Callithrix jacchus: one gene and its partners. The protein of the gene in region 2 purifies or fractionates together with the protein of the main gene of each other region. This does not show direct contact. Links are inferred from orthologs where the notes say so. Each region holds a gene or a part of one and is shown on either strand. Other genes may lie near its edges.

The links.
Region 1: the proteins of CASP8 (region 2) and NOL3 purify together in Homo sapiens (affinity purification with western blotting; 3 studies listed by BioGRID and IntAct, with this or other methods). This does not show direct contact. The link is inferred for Callithrix jacchus from reciprocal best matches to the Homo sapiens genes CASP8 and NOL3.
Region 3: the proteins of CASP8 (region 2) and TNFRSF10A purify together in Homo sapiens (affinity purification with western blotting; 13 studies listed by BioGRID and IntAct, counting the BioPlex papers as one, with this or other methods). This does not show direct contact. The link is inferred for Callithrix jacchus from reciprocal best matches to the Homo sapiens genes CASP8 and TNFRSF10A.
Region 4: the proteins of CASP8 (region 2) and TNFAIP3 purify together in Homo sapiens (affinity purification with western blotting; 3 studies listed by BioGRID and IntAct, with this or other methods). This does not show direct contact. The link is inferred for Callithrix jacchus from reciprocal best matches to the Homo sapiens genes CASP8 and TNFAIP3.

The regions. Positions count from the first base shown.
Region 1 is NC_133521.1:24,676,954-24,684,817, forward strand, and holds the start of NOL3 (nucleolar protein 3), read left to right. Parts: upstream 1-3,126; 5' UTR 3,127-3,152; exon of another isoform or gene 3,153-3,460; 5' UTR 3,461-3,518; intron 3,519-6,984; exon of another isoform or gene 6,985-7,084; intron 7,085-7,196; 5' UTR 7,197-7,207; coding exon 7,208-7,502; intron 7,503-7,648; coding exon 7,649-7,864. Other genes in the region: HSF4 (heat shock factor protein 4), read left to right, coding at 135-259, 380-607, 1,434-1,539, 1,639-1,704, 1,869-1,938, 2,221-2,375.
Region 2 is NC_133507.1:122,359,822-122,367,070, forward strand, and holds part of CASP8 (caspase-8), read left to right. Parts: intron 1-1,404; coding exon 1,405-1,735; intron 1,736-5,969; coding exon 5,970-6,075; intron 6,076-7,127; coding exon 7,128-7,249. UniProt on the Homo sapiens protein: Thiol protease that plays a key role in programmed cell death by acting as a molecular switch for apoptosis, necroptosis and pyroptosis, and is required to prevent tissue damage during embryonic development and adulthood.
Region 3 is NC_133514.1:18,236,838-18,244,714, forward strand, and holds the start of TNFRSF10A (tumor necrosis factor receptor superfamily member 10A), read left to right. Parts: upstream 1-3,164; 5' UTR 3,165-3,284; coding exon 3,285-3,431; exon of another isoform or gene 3,432-3,575; intron 3,576-7,877. UniProt on the Homo sapiens protein: Receptor for the cytotoxic ligand TNFSF10/TRAIL. The adapter molecule FADD recruits caspase-8 to the activated receptor.
Region 4 is NC_133505.1:144,646,924-144,654,172, forward strand, and holds part of TNFAIP3 (tumor necrosis factor alpha-induced protein 3), read left to right. Parts: intron 1-2,472; exon of another isoform or gene 2,473-2,545; intron 2,546-2,648; coding exon 2,649-2,958; intron 2,959-6,249; coding exon 6,250-6,440; intron 6,441-7,093; coding exon 7,094-7,241; intron 7,242-7,249. UniProt on the Homo sapiens protein: Ubiquitin-editing enzyme that contains both ubiquitin ligase and deubiquitinase activities.

The DNA of each region.
Region 1 (7,864 bases), on a different chromosome or scaffold from region 2:
GACCCAGGCCCTCCAGCATGGACTGAACCTCCTCCCTCAAACCTCCCTTAGACCTGGCCCAGGTGGGTGTTGGTGGGGTTCTGGCTCTCCCTGTGCCTACAGGCCAAGGGCTGGGCCTAGCCTTCCACTTACAGCCCCTCCCAGAGACGACTTTGGGCCTCAGCCCTCACAGGGCCAGGGGCCCCATCATCTCTGACATCCCAGAAGAATCTCCATCCCCTGAGGGGACCAGGCTTTCTCCCTCCAGTGACGGCAGGAGGTAAGGGGGACAGGGCTGCCCCTGGGAGGCCTGTGGGGGAGGGGCTGGCAGCCCAGATGGCTGTGGGGGTACGGGGAGAAGTCAGTGCCAGGGTCTGGTTGAAGCTTTTCTCTGGTGCAGGGAGAAGGGCCTGGCACTGCTCAAAGAAGAGCCGGCCAGTCCAGGGGGGGATGGCGAGGCCGGGCTGGCCCTGGCCCCAAACGAGTGTGACTTCTGCGTGACAGCCCCCCCACCGCTGCCTGTGGCTGTGGTGCAGGCCATCCTGGAAGGGAAAGGGAGCTTCAGCCCCGAGGGGCCCAGGAATGCCCAACAGCCTGAACCAGGGGATCCCAGGGAGATATCCGACAGGTGAGTAGAGCCCCTGCTGGACCACGAGCCCTGTGATAGAACAGCCTTACCAACCCCCATAGCTTCCCAGCCATTTGACTCCATGATACTCACCTGACTTCTTGGCCCCAGCATCCAAGTCCCTTGGAAAGCAGAACCTCCCAGTCAGGGCACTCAGCATCTTTAGAAGAGCTCAGAAACCTACAGATTAAATGAGTTCCCTGGGGTGATTGTAAAGCATACAATAATTTAAGAAGCATTGGTGGCCATGAGATGGCTCATGCCTGTAATCTCAACACTTTGGGAAGCTGAGGTGGATGGATCACTGAGGTCAGGAGTTCAAGACCAGCCTGGCTAACATGGTGAACACCCCCCCACACTCTGCTAAAAATACAAAAATTAGCTGGGTGTGGTGGCGTGCACCTGTAGTCCCAGCTACTCAGGAGGCTGAGGCAGGAGAATCACTTGAACTTGGGAGGTGGAGGCTGCAGTGAGCCAAGACTGTGCCACTGCACTCCAGCCTGGGCAACAGGGAGACTCTTTTTAAAAAAAAAAAAAAAAAAAAGAAAGAAAGAAGAAACATTGATGTTAATATTTGCATAGGGAGGGGAGGGATCCCAAAGCCCTAGCTCCACCACCCAAACTTCAGGTCCCAGGTAGGAAGCAGAGGCACTCTCTGTGCCCCTTTATGGCAGGGGTGGGAAGGCTAGGGGTGGAGGGAGAATGGGGTCCTCTCCTATCATTTTCTAAATGTTGGGGTTTTAAATCTCGATGTGTCTGGGTTCCTTGGGAACTTAATGGGGGGAGGGGCAGACACTGCAAGCCAAAAGCATTTCTCTGTGCACAGCGGGCCTCTGGGCCTGGAGAGGGGGGACAGGAGCCCAGAGAGTCTGCTGCCTCCGGTGCTGCTTCGGCCCCCCCAAGAAAGTGTGGAGACTGCAGGGCCTCTAGATGTAAGTACCCCTTCTGCTGAAGCAGAGGCAAGAGGCCTGGTGGGGTCTCGCTCTCTGTGCAGCCTGGGGAGGGCACCAGTGACCCAGAGCTCTCCTCAGGTGCTAGGTCCCAGTCTCCAAGGGCGAGAATGGACCCTGATGGACTTGGACATGGAGCTGTCCTTGGTAAGAAGAGGGTTGGGGAAGGCAGAGACCAGGTGGCTGAGCCAAGCCCTCTGGTCCATGGCTGTTCTCTGTGAGCTGGAGCCGTGTCTCCAGGAGGACTGCTGCAGCTGCCCACTTAGCTGCTAGATCCCTTCCCAGCTGCTCCCTGTGGTTCTCACATGCAGATGCAGCCCTTGGTTCCAGAGCGGGGTGAGCCTGAGATGTCGGTCAAGGGATTAAATTCTCCAAGCCCAGGTAATGGTTGTGATGACTCCCACCTAGGAGAAGGGCTTGATTGGGCTGAGCTACCTTGATTGAGCAATGGGGCAATCTGAACTTTGCAGGGAAATTCCAAGTTCAGACTGCCCTGCAGAGAGTTCCTTGAGCCACCCATGCCCTCACCACTGGGTGAGAGTGGGGAGGTTAAGAATGGATGTTTCATCCTAACTGAGCAGAAAGCAGGTGGGCAGGGCTCTCCTTCCCTGATGAAAGGAGGGGGAACCTTTCCCTTCGTGAACACTGCCCAACTTCTCCTAGGGAAGGACCCCACGTTGGGGGCGCCACTCTTGCTGGATGTCCAGGCAGCCTTGGGAGGCCCAGCCCTGGGTTTGCCTGGGGCTTTAACCATTTACAGCACCCCTGAGAGCCAGACCGCCTCCTACTTGGGCCCGGAAGCCAGTCCCTCCCCCTAAGACCCTGGCCTCTGAAGGGGGCTCGAGTCAGTCCGCAGCTGCACACCCTTTTTGGCTTCCTGGCGCCCCCTGGCGGGGGTGAGCGAAGCCCCCACTACTCATCGTCCTCTCTCCACTACCCCGATTAGCCCTGCACATAAACTCCATTTTTTTTTTCTGTTTCTGGTCTCTTTTCTCTATCGGCCAGGGAGCACAGGAGTTGTGGATGGGGGTGATTTTGCATTTGTAGACGCGTTCAGTTACTAGGTCTTTAATAGAGGAACCCCGGTAGGGTGGAGATGGTTGGGGATCTGGTGCCTAGCTCCCCTGCCTAGGCCGGGATCCAGGGCAGGCGCTGGGCCGATGCAATCTCTGGGAAACGGGGGCTTCTGGGTCACATTCAGCTCTGCAATGCATGCGTTCTGTGATCCTGGGTGAGTCAGTACCCCTCTCTGAGCTTCCTCTGTGACAGGCAGGGAAGAGGGGTCGATGACAGGATAGATGCAAAGCACCTGGAAATTGGCAGGCCCTGAGTGGGCATTGGACGTGTGGGGCCGCGGGCCGAACTGACCCCTCCTGGCCTCATCTCCCGGTGCACCCCGGTTGGGGAGGGAAAGCTGACTACGTGCACGTCCCCAGCCAGCGCGCGGCCTCCGCGGCGTGGCTCCCAGTGCCCGGGGAAGAACCCTCACCCTCCCTATTCCCAGCAGCCCTGGCCGCCCCGCCCCCGCCGCAGCTGCTGCACCCACCCCCACCCTGCCGGGCCCTTTCTGCACCGTCATCTCCTGCCCCGCCGAGGTTCGACCCGTGAGTGGGGCCGCCCAAAACGGGCCAGACCGGGAGCCCCACTCCCGGCTGGGGGAGGGAAGGGAAACCGAGATTGGGCAGAATCAGCGCACCACTGGGTTGGGGAGGTCTGTGGGCCCCGCCCTGCCGCTGGACTCTCAGGCTCTGGGACTGAGTGGAGGGAGGTAAGGGGATCCGTGCGGTCGTACATCCGCAAAGGCTCCGCAGTGTCCCCAGACCCTGGCTCCCCGGCCAAAGAGCCCGAGCATCGAGCTGGGGTTGGAGTCTGGGACCAAGCTCCACGCGCTCGCCACCACCAGGCTCTCTGGGAAACATCTGACCCGTCGCCCTCGAAGGACTGACCGCTAAATAACTTCGGTATTGAGAACTGTTAAATCCTCAAAGGGAGAGCCCAGACCAGCTGGAAAAAGGGCAGGACTTGGGGTCATAGGAGGAGAAAGCTAACATGAGAACAATTTAGGCTGGAGTAGAGAGGAGGGGCCAATCCAATCTGCACCCTCCCTGTGTCTGTCCCGAGTAGGTACTCTCCCCCTCTCCCTTCCTGTGCCCACCGATTGGAGGGACACTGGAAGCCTCAGCTGAAGAAAACAGAGGATCTGCGTGTATACAATGCAGTGATATTGGTTATGTGGTGGTGAGGGCATATGTTTGTTTACTGGGTACACAGAAGAACCACCTGCCCTTGGGACACTTAGGCGTTGGTGTAGACAAGGGAACATTTGAGTCGTGGAGGATGGATAGGTCCATGAAGTGGAGGGAGGGGAAAAGGATTCCAGTCTTAGGGCATCAGCAAAGGCTCCAAGGTGCCAAGGCCATAATGAGTTCTCCCAGCCCTGACTGGTGGAGGGAAGCTGGGAAGGACCTGGCTGTCCAGGGTGGTGGGAGGAGGTTAGAGTAGCCAGACCAGATAGTTAAGGTCTGATAGGCAGTGGGGTGGGGTGGGGGGAGGTAGATAGATATTTAGGATGGGATTTTGCTAGACAGGAGAATATAGTTCAGTTCCTCATAGCTCAGGCTGGGGCAAGTAAGATTCCAGTTTTACCACTGAATCTCTGAGCCTATCTCCTCATCTGTAAAACGGGAACAGTAATCCTAGCCCAGAAAGTTGTCAAATTCACTGTGCTGTGGGGTCTAGTGGAATGGGAGTGAGAGGGCCTCAGACGGACTGTTACAGGACATGAGGTGACCATGGTGGGGTGGTGAGGCAGCAGCTGATGGATACTCACTGAGAAGTGGAGAAGCAAGACCTGTCACAGAAGGGACATAAAGAGAGACGGAGGTGGCTCGTGTCTGTAATCCCAGCACTTCAGGAGGCTGAGGCAGGTGGATCACCTGAGGTCAGGAGTTTGAGACTAGCCTGACCAACATGAAGAAACCCTGTCTCTACTACAAATGCAAACTTAGGTGGGCATGGTGGTTCATGACTGTAATCCCAGCTACTCAGGAGGCTGAGGCAGGAGAATCACTTGAACCCGGGAGGCAGAGGTTGAGGTGAGACAAGATTTTGCCATTGCCTTCCAGCCTGGGCAACAAGATCAAATCTCTGTCTCAAAAAAAAAGAGGGAGAGGGAGAGAGAGAGAGAGAAAGGGAGGGGCAGGGAGTAGTTCTGGTCTCAGCTTGGTAGCCCAGGAGGAAGGGCTTCAATGGGCAGGAGCCAGGGTGTGAAGTGACAGGAGCGATATAGTGTGACACCAGAGGGTACTGAGAGAGACCTGGGAGGCAGGATGGGGGCTAGAACCAAATCCTTTCTCCCAGAGAAGGCCCAGCCTCCTAGAGTCAGAGGAGGAGGCAGAGAAGGGACAGCAAAGGGAAGAGGAGATGGAAGGATGTTGTGTGAACAAAGGCAAGGCAGGGAGGAGGGGAGGTTATTATTATATATATAATAATATATATGTTAATATATAATAATATATATGTTAATATATATGTTTATATATATATATATATATTATGGGGGCGGGGGTGAGCTGAGGCCATGGTCCAAAGCCGGCTGTCTTTGCCTCCTAATGCCAGGGGTCTTGCTGGCTGCATCAGGCCACTCACAGGAATGGGCCATAATCCTCGGTTGGGAATAAATGGACAAAGCAGCCAGGTGCGGTGGCTCACACCTGTAATCCCAGAACTTTGGGAGGCTGAGGCAGGCAGATCACAAGGTCAGGAGTTCGAGACCAGCCTGGTCAACATAGTGAAACCCCGTCTCTACTAAAAATACAAAAAATGGCCGGGTGTGGTGGCTCAAGCCTGTAATCCCAGCACTTTGGGAGGCTAAGGCGGGTGGATCACGAGGTCATGAGATTGAGACCATCCTGGTCAAAATGGTGAAACCCTGTCTCTACTAAAGATACAAAAAATTAGCTGGGCATGGTGGCACATGCCTGTAATCCCAGCTATTTGGGAGGCTGAGGCAGGAGAATTGCCTAAACCCAGGAGGCGGAGGTTGCAGTGAGCCGAGATCGTGCCATTGCACTCCAGCCTGGGTAACAAGAGTGAAACTCCGTCTCAAAAAAAAAAAAAAATACAAAAAATTAGCCAGGCATGGTGGTGAGTGCCAGTAGTCCCAGCTACTCAGGAGGCTGAGGCAGAAGAATTGCTTGAACCCAGGAGACAGAGGTTGCAGTGAGCCAAGACCATGCCACTGCACTCCCCAGCCTGGGCCACAGAGTGAGACTGTCTCAAAAAAAAAAAAAAAAAAAAGGACCAAGCAGATTAATTTTCTCTAATAGCTGCTGTTTGGTAGAGATAGTCTCTCATGAGCCAGGTGTGGTGGTGCATGCCTGCAATCTCAGCACTTTAAGAGGCCAAGGCAGTGGATCGCTTGAAGTCAGAAGTTCAAGACCAGTCTGGCCAACATGATGAAACCCTGTCTCTACTAAAAATACAAAAATTAGCCAGGCATGGTGGTGCACACTTGTAATCCCAGCTACTCTGGAGGTTGAGGCATGAGAGTCACTTGAGCCTGGGAGACTGAGGTTGCAGTGAGCCCAGATTGTAGCACTGTACAACAGTGAGACTCCATCTCAAACAAACAAAAAACCATACAGTCTCTCAAAATAGGGAGATCCATGGAGGAAAATCCAAGTTCGGTGAGCATTTGTTGGTAGCTTGTATGAGCTAGGCCTTCTGTACTTTAAGATCAAACAAAATGTTTGTAGGTCATTCCCAGGTCAGCAGGGAGACAGGTGGGTCTCAGGTGATATCAAGAGATCTTGGTCAGAGCTAGGCCTGAAAAAGATTCTGGTATCTCTGCTCAGGAATCAGGGGACCAGGAAGGGTCATGAGACCACATTGGGGTTGCAGTATGGCGGTGGTGTTGGTGAGAGGATGCAGGGACACCCTGCTTGGAAGGGCTTGTCTTGGAAAGTTGCATCTCAGGGTCAAGGTAAGGGAAGAGGGGCAGGGAGGCTGTCAGCACTTTGTGCTCTGGGTGCAGAGAGGACTGGAGGGGAGAGTATGGAAGCAGGGAGCTCTGATCCCAGGTTCTGCAGGGCCAAAACAGGAGGCAGAAGGCTGGACTTCGTAAGTGCTGAGGATGGTGAGAGAAATATTCGGCAGACAGACTGGAAAGGACTTGTCTGCAAGCTGAGTGTGGAGTATCAGCTTCAATCCTATGTTTTTCTGCCTGGATAGGTGGGGAAGTAGATTTGAGAGAAAGACGATAGTTTGGATAAACAGGGTCTGAACCCAGCTCAGATCTGCTGGGGCTGGAGCTCAGAAGGTCCTGGTTGGGGAGGGCATTCAGACAGTAGATGCGAGTCCTGGGAGAGGCAGGGGAGGAGAGGAGAGCCACAGCTGACGTTTAGGGACAGAAGGAGGAGCCTGAGGAGGAGACAGGACAGAAGCGTCTGGAGAGGCAGGACGCTGAGTTCCCTGTGTTGGCCTCCAGGTCCTGTGCTTGCGGAGCTGACTGGAGGCTGGCATCGAGGTGAACTTAGACCCCAGTCTGGGTGTTCACTGGGGGCATTGAGAGACAGAGGTCAGAGGCGGCGCGGAGCAGGGAGGGCAATCACCTATTACTTCTCTCCCCTCTCCCCAAGCAGCTCCAACGATGGGCAACGCGCAGGAGCGGCCGTCGGAGACTATCGACCGTGAGCGGAAACGCTTGGTCGAGACGCTGCAGGCGGACTCAGGGCTGCTGCTGGACGCGCTGCTGGCGCGGGGCGTGCTCACCGGGCCTGAGTATGAGGCGTTGGATTCACTGCCTGATGCCGAGCGCAGGGTGCGCCGCCTACTGCTGCTGGTGCAGGGCAAGGGCGAGGCTGCCTGCCAGGAGCTGCTGCGCTGTGCCCAACGTACCACGGGCACACCGGACCCGGCCTGGGACTGGCAGCACGTGGGCCCGGGTGAGCGCGCGGGGCCGGGCATAGGGGAGGGAGGGGGCGGAGCAAAGGTCCGGGGAGGGCGGGGTTGTCGTCTCCCCCTGAAGCAGGCGAGTGTGGAAACAGCATCGGGGTCAATTGAGTCTCAGTCACTTCCACTTCCGTCCCAGGCTACCGGGACCGCAGCTATGACCCTCTGTGCCCAGGCCACTGGACGCCTGAGGCACCCGGCTCAGGGATCACATGCCCCGGGCTGCCCAGAGCTTCAGACCCTGAAGAGGCCAGGGGCCCTGAGGGCTCCGAGGCGGTGCAATCCGGGACCCCAGAGGAGCCAGAGCCAAAGCTGGAAGCCGAGGACTCTGAAGAGGCTGAACCCGAGCCGGAGC
Region 2 (7,249 bases):
CAAAGAGCTCTTCAGCTTTGAAGAGTCTGAAAGCCGCCGCTTCCAATGGAATGTTCACATTTTCAACTGAGGAAATGGGAGGTGAGAGAAGTGCTCAAGAGCCTATGCCCCACAGCCAGGGGCTTTTTCCTTCTTTTAGGTTAACATTTATTTGGCATTTGTTAGTTGCTTGGAGTTATTCTAAATGCATTCTAGGTGTTATATATTCACAGCAGCTTTGAGAGATGAGCGCATTTTACAGAGGTGGAAACTAACACCTTGAGAAAGTGCTAGCATCACAGCTGGGCATGATCTAGGCTCTTAAACACGGCACTGCTGCCTTCCCCTACGGTGAATGTCACCTGTGACAGGGGGATCCATGTCCCAGTCTTGTTCCTATGAAGAGTGGAGCACAAACACCGCTCCTAGGGTTCCTTTACCAAGGACAGGGGCTGTCAGAACAGGGAGGGTGGGGTAGAAATCTGTCAAGGTGGTGGAACCCCAGATCTCAGGCCGCTGGCATGATAATTGTCTGGGGTTTGTGGAAACACAGTCCTCCCCTTTAAAAACATTGTGTGAAAATACCACATAACCTGACTTAGAGACTCTGTGGGCTGAAAGGGCTGTCAGGGGTGACCTGGTTCAGTTTCCAGTCTTGCATTCCTGACCACCTGCAGGCGCTGGTCCTTGGGCCTTTCTGGTCCTTGGGCCTTTAGGGAACCACACTGCCCCATGTCCTCTTACCACTGTTGTTTAAATCAGACCCCATTACTCCTGCCCTCCAGCACCAAAATGCCTCCTCCTAATACGTCCTAGTAGGTCCCCTGCCTCCAAGTCTTCCAGTCTATCCTTTGCACTTTAAATGTTAATCCCCAATTGTGTGATGTCATTCTCATTTGTACAGTTTTTTCTTAATTCCTCATCACCTCCAGGACAAAGCCTAAACCCTCTGCCCCACGGTAATAAAGCCCCTTTGTGACATGGTACCGAAAGAGAGCTTCATCCCTTTGTCCCATCACTCTCTGTCCCAGACCCTTTGCAGTTACTTTATTGAGCTACTCGTGCCTGCCTGAATGGACTTGAAAGTTCTTACCTCCATCTTTTACATCAATTGTTTCCTGCAAGAATTGTGCTTTCTCACATTCTCCCCCAATCCCTTCCCCACAGGAAGCCCTTCCCCCAGGCTGAGTTATGTCTTCTTCCTCTGCACCCCTACCGCACTCTGAGCATACCTCTCTGACCATTGGCTTGTTTGTTTATCTACCTTCCCACACAGTAAGCAGAAACTTGCCTGGTGTTCTTTTTTTCTCTCCTGTGCTCACAGCACAATGACCAGTATCTAGTAGATGCAGTAGCCTTTGATGAACAAGCCAGCAAATGGTTCTTTTCTTCCTTATCTGAACATACCATTATATTTTGACTTAGATTACATCTACCTACCTTTTGGAAAGATGGCCTTCAGCAAAATGCTTTTTAATATTGGGGAAGAACTGGGAAGTGAAGAACTGGCCGCCCTCAAGTTCCTGAGCCTGGACTACATACCACAAAGGAAGCAAGAACCCATCAAGGATGCCTTGATGTTATTCCAGAGACTCCAGGAAAAGAGAATGTTGGAGGAAAGTAATCTGTTCTTTCTGAAGGAGCTGCTCTTCCGAATTAATAGATTGGATTTGTTGAATAAATATCTGCACACTAGCAAGGAGGAGATGGAAAGGGAACTTCAGACACCGGGCAGTGCTCAGATTTCTGCCTACAGGTGGGTAGAAACTCCCAATGTGGGGGCTGCAAGGGTGGGTTGAATGGACAGTCTCTGTGGGCAGGGCTGATTGGGGCTTGTCTTTGTGGTAGCCTGTCTGGTGCCTGGGAGCCTGGCTGTGCCACAATTCTAGGCTTCTACAGAAAGACAGTGGTACCTTGGGTGGTCCTGCCAAAGGCTGTAAAATTCAGCTTCTCCCCACCCTAGAGAGAGTGGATAAACAAAGAGAAACCACATTCAGTATCACTTGGGAGGCTTTGGGAAGATGTCCCAGTGGAGCCAGATTAAGAAATTTAAGGGCCGTATGTATAATTCTAGAAAAACGCTAAGACCATAAAATAAAAATGTATTTTTCAAACTGAAACATTACTTAGAGGTATGCTGAAGTTATAATAAAGTTTTCTAAGTGTTCTCATTTTGTTTTTCTTCTCTTATCTTGGTGCCTCTGCTTTGCTGATATCCAGATTGTGTGCTTACTTTGCCCATCCACTGAGTCCAGCATCACGGCCTCCCACCCTGAAATCCCCCTCCCACTTGCTTGTGGATGGCTATGGAAAATTTCAACAAGATTGACTCAAATGACAAAGTTCTTTACAGAGTTGTATGCAGCTGGCCTGGCACATACAGCTAGGCAGTCCCCACAGAGGCTGCCTAGCTCCTGTGAGCCCAGCTGTATGACAGTTCTAAGCTTCTATAGGAAGACAGTGGCACTTTGGGTCATCCTGCCAAAGGCTGTAAAACTTATCTTCTCCCCACCCTAGGGAGCATGGGTAACCAAAGGTGGGAGAGAGAAACCCCATTCAAATACAACTTCATGATGCTGGGACAAGACTTGAAAAACAGAAACACATTGTCACTTTCTCCCTTTCAGCATCTCCTGTTATTAGACACTCCTTAAAGCAATTTCAGCTCTGCTTTCGGGAAACTTCTACTTAAGCCTTGGCTCTGGGCCCATTTCATTTTCTCTGCTTGCTTGTCGATAACTGTGGCATGTGAGATGGAAAGGGCTCACAGCCAGAGCTGACAGCTGCTGCCCTCTGATGGCCCAGCCCATGAACACCCTGGTCTTTCTATTCTCAGAGACTATGTATTGTTCTGAGATTTGACTACTTTTTGTTTTGTTTTGCTTTTGAGACGGAGTCTCACTGTGTCGCCCAGGCTGGAGTGCAGTTGTGTGATCTCGGCTCACTGCACCTCCACCTCTGGGTTCAAGCGATTCTCCTGCCTCAGCCTCCCAAGTAGCTGGGATTACAGGCCCATGCCACCACGCCTGGCTAATTTTTGTATTTTTAGTAGAGACAGGGTTTCACCGTGTTGTCCAGGCTAGTCTCGAACTCCTGACCTCAAGTCATCCACCTGCCTTGACCTCCCAAAGTGCTGTGATTAAGGTGTGAGCCACCATGTCTGGCCAAGGCTTTACTATTTTGATTTTAAATGGTGAAAGAGATGTTCTGGGCCTGGGGTGGTGGCTTATGCCTGTAATTCCAGCACTTTGGGAGGCCGAGGCAGGCGGGTCACCTGAAGTCAGGAGTTCGACACTAGCCTGGCCAACATGGGGAAACCCTGTTTCTACTACAAAAATTAGCTGGGTGAGCTGAGATCGAGCCATTGCACTCCAGCCTGGACAACAAGAGCCAAACTCTGTCTCAAAAAAAAAAAAAAAGATATTTTGGGTGTATAAGTTTCCTAGGGCTGCCGTAATGAAGTAACCCAAGCTAGCAGGTTTAAAACAGTTTTTAAAATTTGTTCTCATAGTTCTGGAGACCTAAAGTCAGAAATCAAAATGTCAACAGCGTTGGTTTTCTTTTAGAGGCTCCGAGGAAGAATCCGTTTCGTGCTTTTCCCTGCTCTGGGTGGGTGCGGCAGTCCTTGGTGCTGCTTGTCTTGAAGATGCAGCACAGCAGTCTCTGCCTATGTTCCCTTCTCTGTGTCTAAATCTCCCTCTTATGAGGACACAGTTGCTGGATTAGGAATTAGAGTCCACTCTAATCCAGTATGGCCTCATCTTTTTGTGCATGTGTGTGTGAGACAGTGTCTCAGTACGTCACCTAAGCAGGAGTGCAGTGGTGCGATCTCGGCTCACTGTAACCTCCGCCTCCCAGGTTCAACCAGTCCTCCCACCTCAGTCTCCCAAGTAGCTGGAACTACAAGCATCCGCCACCATGTCTGGCTAATTTTTGTATTTTTTATAAAGATGGGGTTTTGAAATGTTGTCCTGGTTGGTCTTGAACTCCTGGGCTCATGGGATCTGCCCACCTTGGCCTCCCAAGTTCTGGATTACAGTGTGAGCTACTGCTCCTGGCCAGTATGACCTCATCTTGATCAGATTTTATCTGCAAATATCCTTTGTCCAAATAAGGTCACATTCTCATATTCCAGGTAGACATGAATTTTGGGGAAGAGGGGAGGACACTATTCAACCAGTATGCTAGATGGCTTTGGTTTACAAGAATTGTGAAGTCTTTTTATTTTTTTTTTTTGAGACAGAGTCTCGCTCTGTTGCCCAGGTTGGAGTGCAATGACATGATCTTGGCTCACTTCAACTTGCACCTCCCGGGCTGAAGCAATTCTCTTGCCTCAGCCTCCCGAGTAGTTAGGATTACAGGTGCCCACCAGCGCACCCAGCTAATTTCTGTATATTTAGTAGAGATGGGGTTTTGCCATATTGGTCAGGCTGGTCTCGAACTCCTGATCTCAGGTGATCTGCCCACTTCAGCCTCCCAAAGTGCTGGGATTATAGGCATGAGCCACTGTGCCTGGCTCTACCCCATTTTTATTTTCAGAATTTTACTTTCTAATTAAATTTTAAAGTCAACCTGTTTTGTATTACAATTGTTTTCCTTTACACCATAATATTGAAAGGTTTGCTGACTTCTAAAATGTTCCTGTGTTCACTTACTCAACAAGCATATTCTGAGAGCCTAAATGTGCCGGCCTAAATAAATGTGATAGGCATAGATTAGGAAATAGTAACGCCTATCACTCATTGAACACTTAGTGTGTTGTCAAAGATTGGTTCCAGTACTTCACATGAACTTACTTGTGTAATCCTCAACACCTTCCTATGATGTGGTTACAGATAATTATCTTCAGTGTATGGATCAGGAACAATGTGTAGCATGTCTAAAGTTAACGCTGCTCAAAGATGGTAGAACCAAGGCTCCAACACCAATAGCCTGGGTCCTCTGTACTCAAACATTGCACCTCACAACCCTCTGGGTTAATGAAAACAAAAAGGGCATGGACCTGGCCATTAGGGACTTGGACAGTTTCTAAACAGACAATTATTTTTTGTTTTTATTTTTATTTTATTTTTAGTGCAGTGGCATGATCACAGCTCACTGCAGTGTCAACCTCTTGGGCTCAAGTGATCTTCCCACCTCATCCTCAGGAGTAGCTAGGACCATGGGTGCATGCCATCACACCTGGCTGATTTTTAAACATTTTTGGTAGAGATGGGAACTTGCTATGTTGCCCAGGCTGGTCTCAAACCCCTGGGCTCAAGCGATCTTCTTCTTGCCTTGGCCTCCTAATGTGCTGGAATTATAGGTGTGAACCACTGTACCAGGCCAAAAGACAATTATATGTGTTATCCTTCTGGGGATACTAAGTCATAGTGGAATGAATGCAGCCTTGAGGATGCTCAGGCAATGCTTGAGCTGTTGTTCATGGATGGGTGTCTGCGGATAGACAAGGGGATGGGGTGTGGGGGCACAGCAGAAAGGGGTGAGGGCAGGGCAAGCTGGGTGTGTTTGGAGCTTCAGGTCCTTTAGTGTTTGTGGTCTGGTCTGTGATAAAGATGTATTCAGAGACTTTGTATTCCAGAACCAAATGCTTGGCCTTCTTACCGAAGGTAATGACTGGGAGAACACTGACCAATTTTAGTTAGCGATGCCACAGGCCAATGTGTCCTTTGAAAACTTTTTGCTGTTGCAACAAAATCTTGATTTCATAGAAAAAAAATAAAGGAAAACAAGATTAATTTAACTAAAATAAACTGAAAGAAAAGTTGATAGAACTTTAAATTGTTAAGGGTGGGATAGTTGGGGAGGAGTCGTAGACTTCTGTGTCGCTATATACCTGCCTCTTTCCAAGGACTCAACTCGTAAACCATGCCATTAACTGGCTTTATTTTGAAGGGAGGCCTTTGGAATCAAGCCCACTCTGACTCCATATATCAAATGGGACATTACTTAGGAAAAGGTTTCTAAAGTGTCTCCATTTCCCACCACAGGGTCATGCTCTATCAGATTTCAGAAGATGTGAGCAGATCAGAATTGAGGTCTTTTAAGTTTCTTTTGAAAAAGGAGATCTCCAAATGCAAACTGGATGATGACATGGTAAGATCTGGTATCTTACTGAGATTTAGTCCCGAAACTTGGTTAGCCAGGGACATTTCTGAGACCAAAGTGAGGGGCTATTTTGGTAAAAGCAACCTGGATTCTCACTTTTTAACTAGAATAAGAAAGCTGTCAGCACAAGTGTTACAAATGTGCTTCCTTTATCCTCAAGTACTGCTCCTGTTAATTACTGGTAGCAAGGTTGAGTCAGGGGCTGGGAGAGGAGGCTGTTGTGCAAGGGGCAGCCCAGAGTGAGACTCGGCAGAGGCGAGAGGGACAGTGGTGATCTGAGACATTTCCCCACTTCTGCAGTCCCCAGAATAACCTGGGACCTGGAACTCTGGGTGTATATTGTGTCTGTGTGTGTGTTTGTGTTTTGTGTCTCTGTGTGTGTTGTGTATGTCTGTATGCTGTGTGTGTATCTCTGTGTCTGTGTGTGCCTTTCTCTGTGTATGGTGTGTGTCTGTATTTGTGCGTGGTGTATCTTTGTGTGTCTCTGTATAAGTGGTGTATCTCTGTGTGTTCTCTCTGTGGTATGTGTGTCTGTGTGCATGTTGCATAGTGTGTATTTGCATTTATGTCTCTGTGTGTGTATCACTGAATGTTGTCTGTGTGTGTTGTGTGCATCTGTGTGTGTATGTTCATGTGATATCTGCATCTATGTGTCTTTGTGTACTCAGTTCTGGAGAGGCAATGTTGGGGGTGAGGCCATCCCAAGGCTGTCACCATGGTGACTGGATTGCTGTCTAGGACTGTTTCACAGTCCTCAGGTAATGCATTCATAGGAGATTTGAGCTCAGGGCCTGGGGACTGGGTGACATCTGACATGGCTTCTCCTTTATCCTCTTACTTCTGTCTTTCTGGGCCAGAAAACATGGGATTGCTTACCTAGCAGCCTGCTGGCTATGAGAGGCCAGCAGAAACTGTCAGGAGGTCTGCTTGGGAAGAAAGGGCAGGTCCTTGGTTGGAGAAAGTGGAAGTTTAAAAAGAATCTAATCTAAAAACCAGTGGAGCTCAATCCAGACTCCCAACTTTATTTCTTCTCCTCCTAGAACCTGCTGGATATTTTCATAGAGATGGAGAAGAGGGTCATCCTGGGAGAAGAAAAGTTGGATGTCCTGAAAAGAGTCTGTGACCAAATCAACAAGAGCCTGCTGAAGATAATCAACGACTA
Region 3 (7,877 bases), on a different chromosome or scaffold from region 2:
ATTAATTAGATGTGTTCTCTCTAAGATATGGAATAAGATAAGCATGCCTGCTTTAACTATTTCTATTTAACATTGTACTGGAAATCCTATCCAGAGCAATTCAGTAGGAAAGATGAATAAAAGGTATAAAGATTAGAGGCCGGGAGCAGTGGCTCACACCTATAATCCCAGCACTTTGGGAGGCCAAGGTGGGAGGATCATCTGAGGCTGGGAGTTTGGGACCAGCCTGACCAACATGAAGAAAACCCATCTCTACTAAAAATACAAAATTAGCCAGGTGTGGTGGCATATGCCTGTAATCCCAGCTACTTGGGAGGCTGAGGTAGGAGAATCACTTGAATCCAGGAGGCGGAGGTTGTGGTGAGCCGAGATCATGCCATTGCACTTCAGACTGGGCAAAAAGAGTGAAACTCCATCTGAAAAAAAATAAATGAATAAATAAATAAGATTGGAAAGGAAGAACTGAGACAGTTTTTAGTTACAGTCAATAGGATTGGTTACATAGAAAATCCTAAATAATTATAAAATAACAACTAGAAACATTACATCTTTTTAACAGTACCATAGGATACAAGGCCAATGTACAAAAATCAATTGTATTTCTGTATAGTTGTAACAAATAATTTGAAAATAAAAGAAGCAAATTACACTAGCAATAGTAACAAAAATATTTAGAAATATATTTACAAAAGATATGCAAAACCTGTATCTGAAAAGTTTGTGAAATATTGTCAAGCTTAAGTAATGAATATCTAAATAAATAAATCAATTTCATAGATTGGAAGACTCAAAATCGTTCAAATGTCTATTATTCCCATTGATCTCTACATTCAATGCAATCCCAACTAAAGTCCCAGCAGGCTTTTTTACTTGAAAAAAAAGGATTCTATATAAAATATATGTGGAAATGCAAACCATTTTTAGGGGGCAGGCAGGGGGAGGACTTGAAATCCCTGATTTCAAGATTGACTATACAGCTCATAATTAGGACAATGTAGTAGTTAGCATGACATTAGCCAAATAAAGATAAATGGAGTAGAATGGAGTCCAGAAATGAACACACACACACACACACACACACACACATGATCAATTTAATTTCAACAAAAGTGATAAGGCTATGGATAAGGACAGAAAATCTTTTCAACAAATGGTGTCCGAACACCTGTGAAAACATGGAGAAAAATGCACATCAGCCAGAGCCCCGTTTCTCTTACCCACTCAGCCCCGTGGTCGCCCTGGGAGCCCTGCGCGGGCAGGACTGTGACTCGTTTTCCTTTCGGGAGGCCGATTTCCCACGCCGGGGCCCGCGCAGCGCTAGGTGCAGAGGAACTGCTGGCAGGACCTACCCCACATTGGACCCCAGCCAGGACGCATTCCCTGTCACGCGCCAGGTAGTCTCCCCTGGTTTAAGGGCTTTCAAGACTCTTAACAGGTTAGGAAGATCCAGAAGAAAGGCGGAATTGGGTACCTAGGGCTTGCCTGACACCGGGGACAGTGGAGCTGAGGTGACATTTCACTGGCATCGAAACCTGAGACTACCAGCAGGATGGGTCCCTCGTCGACGGAGGGTATCGACGGAGGAGGCCGTAGAAGCCTTCAGCGGCCCGGAGTCCACATCCCGCGGTGGCGGCCTCTGTAGCCTTCATTTCGCCACCATCCGCCCACCAAGCGCCTGCTGAACGACAGGAACCCGGCTACCCAGAAGCTGAGGTCGACTCCTGCTGAGAGAAGGCTAATTAATGGAAGGGAGTCGGGAGTGGGTTTCGAATAAATGCTTGTGGCCGGGCGCGGTCGCTCACGCCCTTAATCCCAGCACTTTGAGAGGCCTAGGAGGGCGGATTACCTGAGATCGGGAGTTGGAGACCAGCCTGGCCCAAATGGAGAAACCCGTCTCTACTAAAAATACAAAAAATTAGGCGGACGGGGTGGTGGGCGCCTGCAATCCCCGCTACTCATAAGGCTGAGGCAGGAGAATCGCTTGGACCCGGGAGTGGGGAGCCGAGACTGCGACATTGCACCCCAGCCTGGGCAACAAGAGCGAAACTCCGTCTCAAAAAATAAATAAATAAATAACTAAAAGAATAAATGCTTGTCGAAGCTCTCATGGAGGATGAGAGAGATTAAGCTCTGGCTAAAATAAAGCCAATATCGCCACTGCTTGGAGGATTAGCCTCTGCTCGGGGTTACCATCAGCCAATTAGAAAGACACGATTCCTATGCCTTCTCGTTCGATAAAAAGTTGAAGGCTGTTGTTGGCAGTAACCAGAATTAATATGATGAGGAAAATAAGTATTTGAAAAATTGATTGATATTAGGGGTCTGAGTTTATATATCATATTAAGCATTCGACAATAGATCAGGTAACAAATAGTGCTACTGGGATGAATATTGTGGAGAAGTAGTCTACTCTGAAGCTTAGTGAGAGTTTAAGAGTTTGGATTGTCGTTCCGTGTCAGTTTGAGATAATGACTTCTTGGCATGTGCATATAAATATTGCTGTAGGGAGGAGGCTAATGACGAAGGCGCATGCGATAGATATTTTTACGTAATTTGGGTATGAACCTTTTTTGCAGGGGCTGGTTAAGGTAGTAATAATCGGTTAGATTAAGGGGATTAGGGCAATTATAGCACTGGAAAAATACATGTTTATTACTTTTATTTGGAGTCCTAAGACCCACGGATGACTCTAATCCTTTAAAAGTTGAGAAAGCCACCTTGTTAGGCATGGGGCGTGAGTTAGCAGTTCTTGCACACTTTCTCGGTAGATAAGAAGTTGCAGGCCTCTATTACTAGATCCACAATCTAATGTTTTGGTTAAACTATAGCTACAGCATGCAAATCCCATAATACTTTTAGGGTTTAAGAATAATAGGAAGATAGGAAAGCCTCGCGCTGGGACTAAATGGCAAAGCGACTCCGAATGCAGCGGCATCCAGGCGGCGGGTGAGGTCGAGGGACAGCAGCGGGGGCGGGCAAAGAGGAAGGAAGTTCAGGGTTCACCAACAGGAGTCTCAGGTGCCCCGAGAAGGGGGAGGGATCAGGTGCCTTGACCCAGAGAATGCCAACTTTGGTCTTACCAGAGCGCAGTGCTTCTTGGATTGACGCTGTTTGACGCAATCGCCAGCTGGAGTAAAGCTGGGCGCTTTCCTGGCAGCGACTCCGAATCTAGGGAGCTCAGCGAGAGGTTCAGAGGCAGTCGCGGCCACACCCAGCACAGCTAGGGGCTCCTCCGCGTCGAGGATTGAACAGCGGGGCGGGGGCCGAGGAGCGCTGCCTACCCCATGAGACAGCCGGGACCCTGCGCCCAGGCTCCCTCGAGGGCCCGGGCAGGGCGCGCCCCAGGACCCAGGCGGGCGCGAGGAGCGAGGCCCCGGCTCCGAGTCCCCCAGATTTTCTTCTCCGTCGTCGTCGTCGGGGTCTTGCTGTGGGTGAGTCCCCACCGCGGTCCCTGCTGGGGAAAAGCGCGCCTGGCACAGGGAGGAGGCAGGGAGAGAGGGGGACGCGACGGGGTGCCTGGCCTGGGTCGCCTGTGGCCGGACGTGTCCGTGCAGCAGGAACCCGTCGTAGAAGTCGGAAGAAGAGTGGGGTCCCTAGGGTCTGGCAGGAGTGACCTGCGCCTGGAGGGAGCAGAGAGCCCTAACCGCCTCCCCACAGGAGTCTGGGCCGGGGGACTCCACCCTGTCCTCCGCTGCGTAGCGCGGCTCCCTCCTCCCAACGCCTCAAGATGTCTGGGGAGGTTTCGGAATCGGCAGAGCGAGCTCAAGTGTGTAAACTTCGAAGCTACCTCCAAGCCACACTGGCTGCGTGAAGGGGAGCGCAGGGGACATGTCTTTCTTCCCCCCCACCCCCCTCCGCACCCCCATCCTTCTTTTCGTTTCGTGTGTGTGTGTGTGTGTGTGTGTGTGTGTGTGTCTCGCTCGGTCGCCCGGGCTGGCTGGCGTGCGGTGGCGCGATCTCGGCTCACTGCAACCTCCGCCTTCCGGATTCAAGCGATTCTCGTTTCAGCCTCCTGAGTAGCTGGGGCCACAGGCGCCCGCCACCGCGCCCGGCTAATTTTTTGTGTTGTTAGTAGAGACGGGGTTTCACCGTGTTAGCCAGGATGATCTGGATCTCTTGACTTCGTGATCTGCCCGCCTCGGCCCCGAAAGTGCTAGGATTACAGGCGTGAGCCACCGCGCCCGGCCGCTTCATCCTTCTTTACTTAGACAAACGGGTTAAACGCGCGGCCCGGCAGGAAAAAGTAACTTTCTCTCCGCTGTCCGTAGTCTTCCGTTTCCTTCGAGTCCCATGAGCACCCCGGCAGCAGTTTCCTTCCAGCCATTTTCTTTTCTTTTTTTTTTTTTTTTTTTGAGACGGGGTTTCGCTGTTGTTACCCAGACTGGAGTGCAATGGCACGATCTCGGCTCACCGAAACCTCCGCCTCCTGGGTTCAAGCAATTCTCCTGCCTCAGCCTCCCGAGTAGCTGAGATTACAGGCACGCGCCACCATGCCCAGCTAATTTTTGTATTTTTAGTAGAGACGGGGTTTCCCCTTGTTGACAGGATGGTCTTGATTTCTTGACCTCGTGATCCACCTGCCTCGGCCTCCCAAAGTGCTGGGATTACAGGCGTGAGCCACCGCGCCCGGCCCCCCTTCCAGCCATTTTCTTGCACATGAACAGGTACAGGGCGGTGAATCAACTGCAGTGACACAGCCGGGACGGGGCATACCCATCCTGCAGAAGGCAGCAAACCGCGAAAGCAATCTGGAAAATGCCAATGCCTTCAGTTCTCTTTCATGTCCGCAGAGGCTCTGCCACTTGCTCTCTTCCAGATTTCTTCCACATCGAGGAAGCACGAAACAAAAGCTAAATAGCTCAAGGATAAAAACCAGTCTTACAGGTGTCAGGAAATTTCAAGTTTTTTTAACAAAGTAAACAAGATCCAGGAAACTAATGGCATTTTGTAATCTGCAAATAATTACAGAATTTATGTTTTAAACATCAGTTTATATGAGGTGGAACCCACGGTTGATGCTTACTTATTATTATTATTATTATTATTTTTTTTTGAGATGGAGTTTCGCTCTTGTTACCCAGGCTGGAGTGCAATGGCCCGATCTCGGCTCACCGCAATCTCTGCCTCCTGGGTTCAGGCAATTCTCCTGCCTCAGCCTCCTGAGTAGCTGGGATTACAGGCACGCGCCACCATGCCCAGCTACTTTTTTGTATTTTTAGTAGAGACGGGGTTTCACCATGTTGACCAGGATGGTCTCGATCTCTTGACCTCGTGATCCACCCGTCTAGGCCTCCCAAAGTGCTAGGATTACAGGCGTGAGCCACCGCACCCGGCCAGTGTGAGTCCAGGTAGATGTAGGGCTCACCTGTGTAGACAAGATCAAACATCTGAATGTGGTGGTTTGGGAAATGTGACAGTTGGTTTAAGTGGCTGTAAAAGAATACTTGAGGTTGTGTAATTTATAAAGAGGTGTATTTGGCACGTGGTTCTGCAGGCTACACAAAAAGCATGGCACCGGCATCTGCTTCTGGTAGGAAGATTCCACTCATGGCCAAGGGGAAGGACAGCTGGATTCTGCCCATCAGGGAAAGGGGATGGGGAGGACGGTGGGGGAGGGGAAAGAGTTGAGCAAAGGGACGGGGAGGGGCCAAGTTCATTTTAACAACCAGCTCTCAGGGGAACTAAGAGTGACAATTCCCTGCGGGGGATGGGAGAGGAGGTGGGTATGGCACCATGTCATTCATGAGGGATACACCCCATCCCCAGACCCCAACAGACCCCACCAGCTACGCTGGGGTTCAGATTTCAGCATGAGACCTGGTAGAACCCATAAGCAGACGCCAAGGCCTTCTGCCGTCCCACAGGACCCTCTCATCCCACCATCCAACAGCTTTCTACCTGTGCATTTATAGGCACCTTAGGTTTTAAAAATTCTGAGTGAACAACAAATCGCTTTAGGTGTTTTCCGTCAGTACCTGCATGTGTCTCACTCTTTTTAACAGCATCATTATATTTAGTGCATGGGTGAAACACATGGGGTGAACCACAGTTGATTTTAATTTTCCATCCTATGGACAATGGTTAACATGATATCCTCCCTTTGTGCTAATTCCAGCAGGATTGTAGTGAGAACCCTTGTATGTGTCACGTGTCCGTATATCCACGTTCACTGGAGTATTAGGCAGCTCCTGAGGAGAGGAATTGCTGGGTCAATGAGCTCATCAATTTAGAATTTTGTTTGGATGTTGCTAAATTGTCCTTTGGGAGAAGGTTGTGTCAATTTTACACTCACACCAAGAGTACCCAAGCGTGCCCGTGTCTCTGCACCCTTGCTACACAGAATTTTCATTCTTTCTTAGTCTAAGAGGTAAAAAAAATGATACATCCCAATGTTGTATTTTTTATTTCAATGTTATTAAAGATTTTCAAGGATCCAGGAATTTTTTGAGACTGGGAGTAGATGACTTTGAGACTCCAGATGAGACAGCAGGGGAGGGAGCAGGGAAGACTGCAGTCACACCTATGCATCTGGGAAACCGTGGTCAGCTGGGGCCAGTCCCTGCCACTCGCCATGCCTGTGAATGGAGATAAGGTCTCTGTCCTCAGCCTGTCAGGATAACCTCAGATGAGCCTAGAGATAAGCTCAGTTTCTGACCTCAGGTCCTGGCTCTGTCAGTGCTGGGCTGGTCCAATCTCTACACCACGTCCTTCCACCTCTCCCCTCTCTTTATCGCAGTAGGAAATGAGAAATTGTAAAGGCTCAGGAGCTCAGACCCTCAGGCTGTTAAAGAGCCCAGAGATCGGAGGCTGAAGACTGCCAGGGTTGGCTGTGCTGTTCTTCAGCTTGGTGACTCTTGTGTGGCCCTAGCTCCTTCTTATAAAATAGACGGATGTAAGAAAAAGTCCCCAGTGGCCCTGTGTAAACCGCAGTGGACTGTGTGGGCAGATGTATGCTGTCATGTGGGAGGAAAAATCACATCCTCAGCGACAGTGTCAGTCACTCTGAACTGGTTCCCCAGGGCACATGCCCTCCACCAGCAGAGGCTGCAGCCTATCCTACCTGCACCTCGGTATCAGCTCCCTGAGTTTGAGGCAGAAGCTTCTGAAGACTGGGGTGGAGCACCATGGGGAGGGGCTGTGGAGGAACAGAGGAGCCAGACTTCAAGTGAGGACAGCGATGGCACTGCAGGGCCACAGCCTGGGTTACCTGCCACACTTCAGTTGTCCTTCTAGTGGGCATGCAGCCCAGATTGCAGTTCGAAGAGTGAGCAGGAAATGTCTCCATCTAGGTGGCTGCAGCTGGCTGCTCACCCCGCCCCTACTGAGAAGCAGCAGTCCCAGTTATGGTCTTCTGTCCTGTATCTAGGAATGGCAGCGCAGTGAGGCTCTAGCTTTTAGCTTCCAGGTCGGGGATGGGGACCGTGGGGACAGTGCCATGCCCCAAGCCTATGCTGATGGACAGCTGATGTCCTCCTCCCAGCCAGAGACTGCACATCTTTGTTTAGGGTACTTTCCTACCCCAGAGAGATGGGGATTGTTGCTCTCATTTTGTTTGGAGAGAAAATGAGATTTAGGAGGAGGAAGTCCCCAGCATTTGGGACCTGGCCTGCTTGATAATAGCAGGTGCTTGTTGGTCTGCGAAGAGCCTCTCTTGGATTCCCAGGCAGGTATCTGTGATAATAGGGAAAGGAGAAAGAGTCTGCTTTGTAGGGAAGAGCAGGGTGTGCTCAGCACCTCAGACACCCGCCTGGGGTCAGGAGGAGATATGAATCATCACATTTTACAGAGGAGGGAACCACAGCTCAGAGGGGGAAAGTGTGTGCACCAGGGAACAGGCCAGTCTGTCCAGAGCAGTGGTAGGAATGAGGGAAACTAGG
Region 4 (7,249 bases), on a different chromosome or scaffold from region 2:
ATAAATAATTCATCAATTTCCACAACACGAACAAAAATGTCCCCCCATAGTAGAAAAATAAAACGAGGAGAAGAGTTTGAGGAATGGAGAATTTCTTTAGAATCCCATTGATCCTAGTGACAGAAGTTGAGAAATTACCTTTAAATAAGACAGCGAAGTAACAAATGTTAAAAAAAAAAAAAGTTAAGGGTAATATTGCATTGTTTGACACTTTAAAATGTATCTGAAACATTTGTTCTTTAATCTTAAGTGTGGAGAAGTCCAAGAACTGGAAACTTGGGCAGTGGGTTTTGATTTCTAAGGATTTGATTTCAACTTTACAGGCTGTGCAAGGCTAAACCTACCAATGCGAGCTCACTGGGGTGTCCAGTATTGACATTTGCATATCTTGCCTATGGTTTACAGCCCTCACTATTTTAGATCTTTGGTGAAAAATCTTTAGATTTGGAAGAGAAAAATAAGAGTCAGACAAGCAAAAAGAGATAGCACCTCTTTTGTTTAAAATCTTTCTCCTGCCCATCTCTTTCCATCTGATTGTGGCAGGCACTGTAGCCGCAGCTTTGGTGTTGTGGGATTGCAAGGGGCAGATGTTGAAAGACCTGGCTGCTAGGCTAAACTTTGCCCTTGAATGGCTGTGGGATCTAAGCAGTACCTGTAACTCCATTGCCTTAGCTGCACACTAAGGTGGTAGTGTGGTTTCAAGGAAATAAGGCCATCTTTGACTTTTAGTCCCTCATCAAGGATGGTGTTGGCCTTCATTAGGTGGTCAGGTAGGGCTTGTTGGGTGGATGGGTGGATGGGTGCATGGGTGGGTGGGTGGGGGGAATGGATGGACAGACTGATGGATGGACAATATTGTGAAAGAGACTTTTGCTGTGCCACAAAGGAAAGGTATATGTGTTATTTTTTGTTCTGCTATGATTTTGCCCAATTTCACCTGTAGTGGATGGCTGATATCAAAGGAAAACACCATCTGATCTGGAGAATGACTCCCCCTATGCCTTTCCCAGCAATCAGATTAAGAATCCCAATCTAAAACTATCACCAGAAAACTCCTCAGGAGAAACCATGGGTCATCTAAGTCCAACCTCTCTCCTTTGAGTGGGCCACAAGAATTTAGACCACCTTATCAATGGTGTTAAGAGAGCCTAGACCCACCCAGGAGTAGCTACCCTAAAATCTAGGTTTCTTCTCCTCCCTCTTCCATAGGTTTAACATTTTATCAACTGGAGAGTTGCCCTGACAAATAGGTTGCTGCAGGAGTGGAATTAATAATCTCTGTGAAATTTCCTAGAGAATGTCTTTGTGCTCTGAAAACATCTTCATCGTCTTGGAAATTAGGAAGTGTGGCCAGGCACCCTACAAAGGGCTAGCGAACCAGAGCTGGCTCTCCACGCGGTTCCGTACTGGAGAAATCCCACATTATGTTAATTCACATCATTCTGAGCTGTTGGCATGGGTTGTAGATGCTGGTCTTTGCCCCTTTCCTCCTTCATTTGCTGGAGTGGCCTCCTGGTGGAAACTTCCTTCCTTGTCTGCTTCTAGACTTTCATTCCTTCTGCTAGTTGCTTATGCTTAAAGATTTCAGGGTGAAAAACTGGGCAGACATGCATCTGTGTTAGGACCTGGAAGGTGATGACAGAATTTTATTGGCAGTTGAGTTGAAATGATTGAGCTTCAATATCTGTTCTTGGAAGTACAGAATTTATTGTTCTGTTATTATTTTGTGGTTTTTCATTTTTTGTTTTTGTAGAGACCTAGGTCTCAATATGTTGCCCAGTCTATTCTCAAACTCCTGAGCCCAAGTGATCCTCCCACCTCGACCTCCCAAAGTGCCAGGTTATAGGCATGAGCCACCGTGCCCAGCCTATTATTAGTCTGTTTCTTATTCTGATATGAAGTCTGGTGGGAAGGTTCTGAAGGAATGTTGACTGCTCTTAAAATTGCAGTGCATCTTGCTGGAAGTGGTTTTTTTGTTGTTGATTAGAAAACATTCCGCTTTAACTCTTTATAAACATCAGAATAAACTTTATGAATAAACACTGAAATACTTCTCTTTGGGGCTAAAGAGGAAACACCAACCAGGAGCCTAAATGACAGCATAAAATTGCAAGATTTTTCATAAAATAGTTTACCAGCATAGGGAGGGAGTGATTACTCAAGAGTTTGCCCAAGGGCAGGATTGCTTGGTGGTGGTCTGAAGGGAAGGAGCTATAGACTTGTCGGGGCTACATTGAGCCCTTAACTGGCATCCGGTACTCCCCAAATCCAGCGCTGTTCAGCGTGGTCTCAGAATGAAACAGGAGCTTCAGTTGATTTTGAGGAGCAGTACCTGTTGCTGACAGACAGGGTTGGCTCCCTGACAAACGTTACTGAAAACACAGGTTATTCCCCTCCTCCTCAGTACCCACTCTCTGCCTTCCGTCCCTTATTTAGACTAATCTTTTAAAGTGATGTAACTTAAAACAGCCCAGTGTGAGTTAATCTCTGGGCCAGCTAGTATCCCGGGAGTAGAGGTGCTAAGATCTTTTGCCTACAGATCAGGGTAATGACAAGATCAAACACTGGGGTTTCCTGCAGACAGGTATATAGGAGTCATATCAAAGTCAGGCTAATGGAATGGCTGTTTTTTTTTCTTTCCTTTTCAGGTGCTGGAGAGCACAATGGCCGAACAAGTCCTTCCTCAGGCTTTGTATTTGAGCAACATGCGGAAAGCTGTGAAGATACGGGAGAGAACTCCAGAAGATATTTTTAAACCTACGAATGGGATCATTCATCATTTTAAAACCATGCACCGATACACACTGGAAATGTTCAGAACTTGCCAGTTTTGTCCTCAATTTCGGGAGATCATCCACAAAGCCCTCATCGACAGAAACATCCAGGCTTCCCTGGAAAGCCAGAAGAAACTCAACTGGTGTCGGGAAGTCAGGAAGCTTGTAGCGCTGAAAACGAATGGTAAGACTTGCTCTGTTGTGCTTCTTTTGCCTGGGTGATAGCTTCTGCTTGCTGGGTCCCCATTCATGGAGCTTTAATAGCACAAGCCCAAACTCAAATCTCTTGAGATTTAGTAGACACTTTAGTGTAGAAACTCTATACGGGACATGTGATAAGAGCTGACTTGTTTTGTGAATCTATTTATTAAGGATATTTTCTGATTGTGTATATTGCAGAGCACATTGAGGCTTGGAGAATGCGTTTTTAATACTCCAATTAGGTGATTTGTTTCTAATGCTTGCAAATGTTTAATCATCTGTAAAATACCCTTCACTGGCTCGTAATGGAAATGTTAATAGCCTTAAGTTCAAAAGAAAAGCATGGTGTGAAAACTGGTAGTACGTTTGTTTCCCACTGTCATTAGAAAATGCGTGTGATGTTCTTATGCCTCTCGAATTGGTAGCATTTTATGGGTTAACCAGTGAATGGCTGTTGAAGACATGAGGAATTTCTTTTGTCTCCTCCTCCTCTCTGACCTGGTTCTACTGCCTATGCCCTGCAGTGTGAAATAGATCGATGCTGAGATTTTTAGCATGAGTTTTAGACTTCACCTTCATTATTTTTAGAGGTTCCTAGTCACTGAAATCCTTCCTGCCTGTGCTGTTCTGCCAATGGCCTTTACCAGGAGTAGCTATTTCCTATTCCAAGCTTTACTGCTTTATTTTTTAATCATTTCCCTTGGATAAGAATCTGTGCATCAACAGGAGTGTCTGTTGCATACAGTTTCATGCAGGCACAAAATTCTACTCTATGGATGTGGATAATTATTACAATAAGCAAGTGGACTGTACAAGATCAATTAAATGCTCATAGACTACATAAGACCAGGAATCTCAGATACTTAAATCTGTGACAGTCCCAAACCATCCTAATAAAAGTAAGATGTCCAAGAGCAGAAAATCATTGTTGACAATGATTACGATAAGAACACTGACTTAATTAACTTAATTGGTACATTAACTTTGGCTTTTTTTGACTTGGGTAACTTAGAGTGATTGGTGGATGTGGGTTTTTAAATTTTGATTCTGGGGGGTCTTGTACATTGCTTCAACAGCTTGCCTAGATTTATGAAACACTGATTCTTAGAAACATAGGTAGAAAGAAAACTAGGGATAGCTACTGTCTGCATTATTCTTGGCATTAAATTAAGTGATACATAGAGGTAGGTAATTATGTAAAGTCATCATGGGGTTTATGTGCCTGACAATTTGTGGTTTTAATCCTCTCCCATTTTGTTACTAAAAAGAGATAGAGTAAACTTTGGGGGAGTTGGAAAGAAAGATTCTGCTGAATTAAAAATGTGGTAGGAAGGGGGAAACCTTATTAAGAAAATTAACTGACTTTTTGCCTTGTTTCCTTAAGATAGGAAATGCTCGATTTCCACTAGGAAAAAAAAAGGGACTATAAATAGGAAACACTTATTTTGCAAACATGTCATTGAAATCAACAAGGAGTCACACTACAAATAAAACTACAAAAGCCAGGTGCATTTTGGTAACGTTTTTTGGGAAATCATTTTTAGACTCAGAATCCTTTTGTTTCTTCACTTTCTAGAAAACTCCTTAAGAGTCTAAATGTGGAAGAAAGGATATCGGGAGGGAGGAATACAAATGACTTTTTTTTCTTTGATTTTGATTAGCACCTTTTAAAAAAATAATAATAATCTTTCCGTTGATAGGAGGGTTATTCAAAGGCAATATCTGGGGAGGGGGTGATTCACAAGTTTGCATTTGAGGATATGAGACTGTGGTGAATGAGGAAGGGAGTAGGTGGCATAAAATTGAAACTTCATGTGAAAAATTCCAGCGTCTATTGGCTGCAGCGATTTCACTTGTATAATGAGTAGCCCTATTCCAGCTCACCCTGACCACACCCACTTGGAAAGTCCAGGGTGCACCTCGCAGTTTAAATGTCTACACACCAGAACAAAAAGTACAATAGCTGTTGCTCAATTGCTAGTCAAATAACTTAGCACTGGGGAATTCCAGATGTTACTTAGGGAATTTTATACTGGTGCATCTCAATAAAGAACTGAAAGTAAGCACAAGAAGAAGAAAAAAAGCCTTATCTTTGCTCTAGATTTTGCAAAGGGGAAATTTCAACAGAATGCAATCATTGCTACACGTCTGCCAAGGCACAAGGCTTGGGCGATCTTTTTTGTCCATTTGTTTGAATACTTACTTAGCTAGTTTTTCTAAATGTGTAACTTGAAGGAATACTGGCTGTGGATACATATTTGAGGGTTTTATTGGTCTCTTTATAGTTTGACTGTAATTATAATTTGATAACATTTCAAATAGCATTATTGCCCTACTTATAGAGTAATATGAGAAACAGTTTAACTTTTCTTTATAAAGATTATTTTGTATTTGCCAAAAGATACCAAGGAGTTAACTTTTTTGTTTTAAACGTTTCCCCAAAAGATTTATTGTTTGGAGGTTGAAAAAAATGCAGCCCATTGAATTGTGAGTTTTAAACTGGAAGGGTCACAAATGAATGGCATACAATTCAACCTGCTTTTTTTCTTTCTCAAAATGTCAGCCCTAAATACTGAATTATTTTCAAATGTAGACACCCAGGTGCTTTTTAACTTTTGTACTTTACAGTTACTAACAAGCAGGTTTGCATAACGCGTTTTTGAGAGCTGGACTGGCAGGCCATAGGTAATTCAGTGTTGCCAACCTCACTTTACACACCAGGAGAGGAAACTCCCAGGGCCCAAAGGCTAAAGGGGAATGGTCAAGTCATTTGCCATTGAGTCATAGCCATACCATCCCAGTCTAGCAAGCCATGCCCGCTTCCTGGTTTGTGCATGTTGCTCTGTGTGATCTTCCTTAGGATTAGAGAGCAGCAATGCCAGTGCCTTCACCAGCAAATCAGGGGATAGTAGAAAGGGATGGGGCTTTAGAGATCATCACTCAGTGCCCTCATTTCACAAAGAGGAAAAATGCCCAGAGAACCTAAGGAATTTCCCCCAGGTCACCTAAATGAGTTAGGAGCAGAGTTAAGCTAGAACCAAGGTCCCCTGGCTCCTTTGCTGTTGGTGTCATTCATTAAAAAGAAAAATGAAAAGAACTGTTTTTTCCTTAAAGCTGTCATTATCTTGTGAAATACCAATTTGTACTTGACTAGGAAATTAAACCACTCAATGACCTAGCACAGTAGCAGGGCTGGTTTATTCTGAAAACCTTTGCTGGACCTTAAATGCAGATAACTTGATTTTCCTTCTCTTCTCCTCCTTTCTGTCCTCAGGTGATGGCAATTGCCTCATGCATGCCACTTCTCAGTACATGTGGGGTGTTCAGGACACAGACTTGGTACTGAGGAAGGCGCTGTTCAGCACGCTCAAGGAAACAGACACACGCAACTTTAAATTCCGCTGGCAACTGGAGTCTCTCAAATCTCAGGAATTTGTGGAAACGGGGCTTTGCTATGACACTCGGGTATGTATTGCCCCCTAATTATCTATTGACAGAACTCCATGGTGGGCATAGGGTACCCCTGGGTGAGTCCCTGCCCTCTGGTAGCATCTAATGGCCCAGGTCATATGAATTTGCCTAAGTGAAGCATACTCAATGGAAAACACCAGAAACCTATGGGACTAACCCAAGGCTTTTGCCACTGCTTTTGGTTAGCAGATTCCCAGCTGTGGATCTGTTCCCTCTAGCAGCAGGTCTTCTGCTCATGGCCTTTTCCATTGGTGTTTTGTTGTTTTTCAGTTTGATTGCCCTTAGCTTTGCTGAGCCAGCCAATAACATTACAACACATGCCTCACCATCCTCAGTCACAAGTTTGGAATTTTTGTGAACATTTGGATGAGGGGCTGCAATGTGATACCTCATCAGGGATTTTTTTTTGTAAGCAGGTGCTGTCCCTGTCCTCCCCAACTTTTGAGTTTGCCTTGTAGTAGAAAAGAGTAAAGAAAGAAAACCAAAATGGGGCAAAAAGGATGATCATTTGAATGATGGTTTCATGAAAGGGGAAAAATAAGCTGAGTTATATAAGTGAATAATTGCGGAGTGATGTTAGAATGACTTTAGCATAGGAGTACAGGGTACATTCAAGCTTTTTGTCCTCTTTCACCTCCTCCCCTTAGAACTGGAATGATGAATGGGACACCCTTATCAAAATGGCTTCCACAGACACACCCGTGGCCCGAAGTGGGCTTCAGTACAACTCACTGGAAGAAATACACATATTTGTCCTTTGCAACATCCTCAGAAGGCCAATCATTGTCATTTCAGGTGAGATG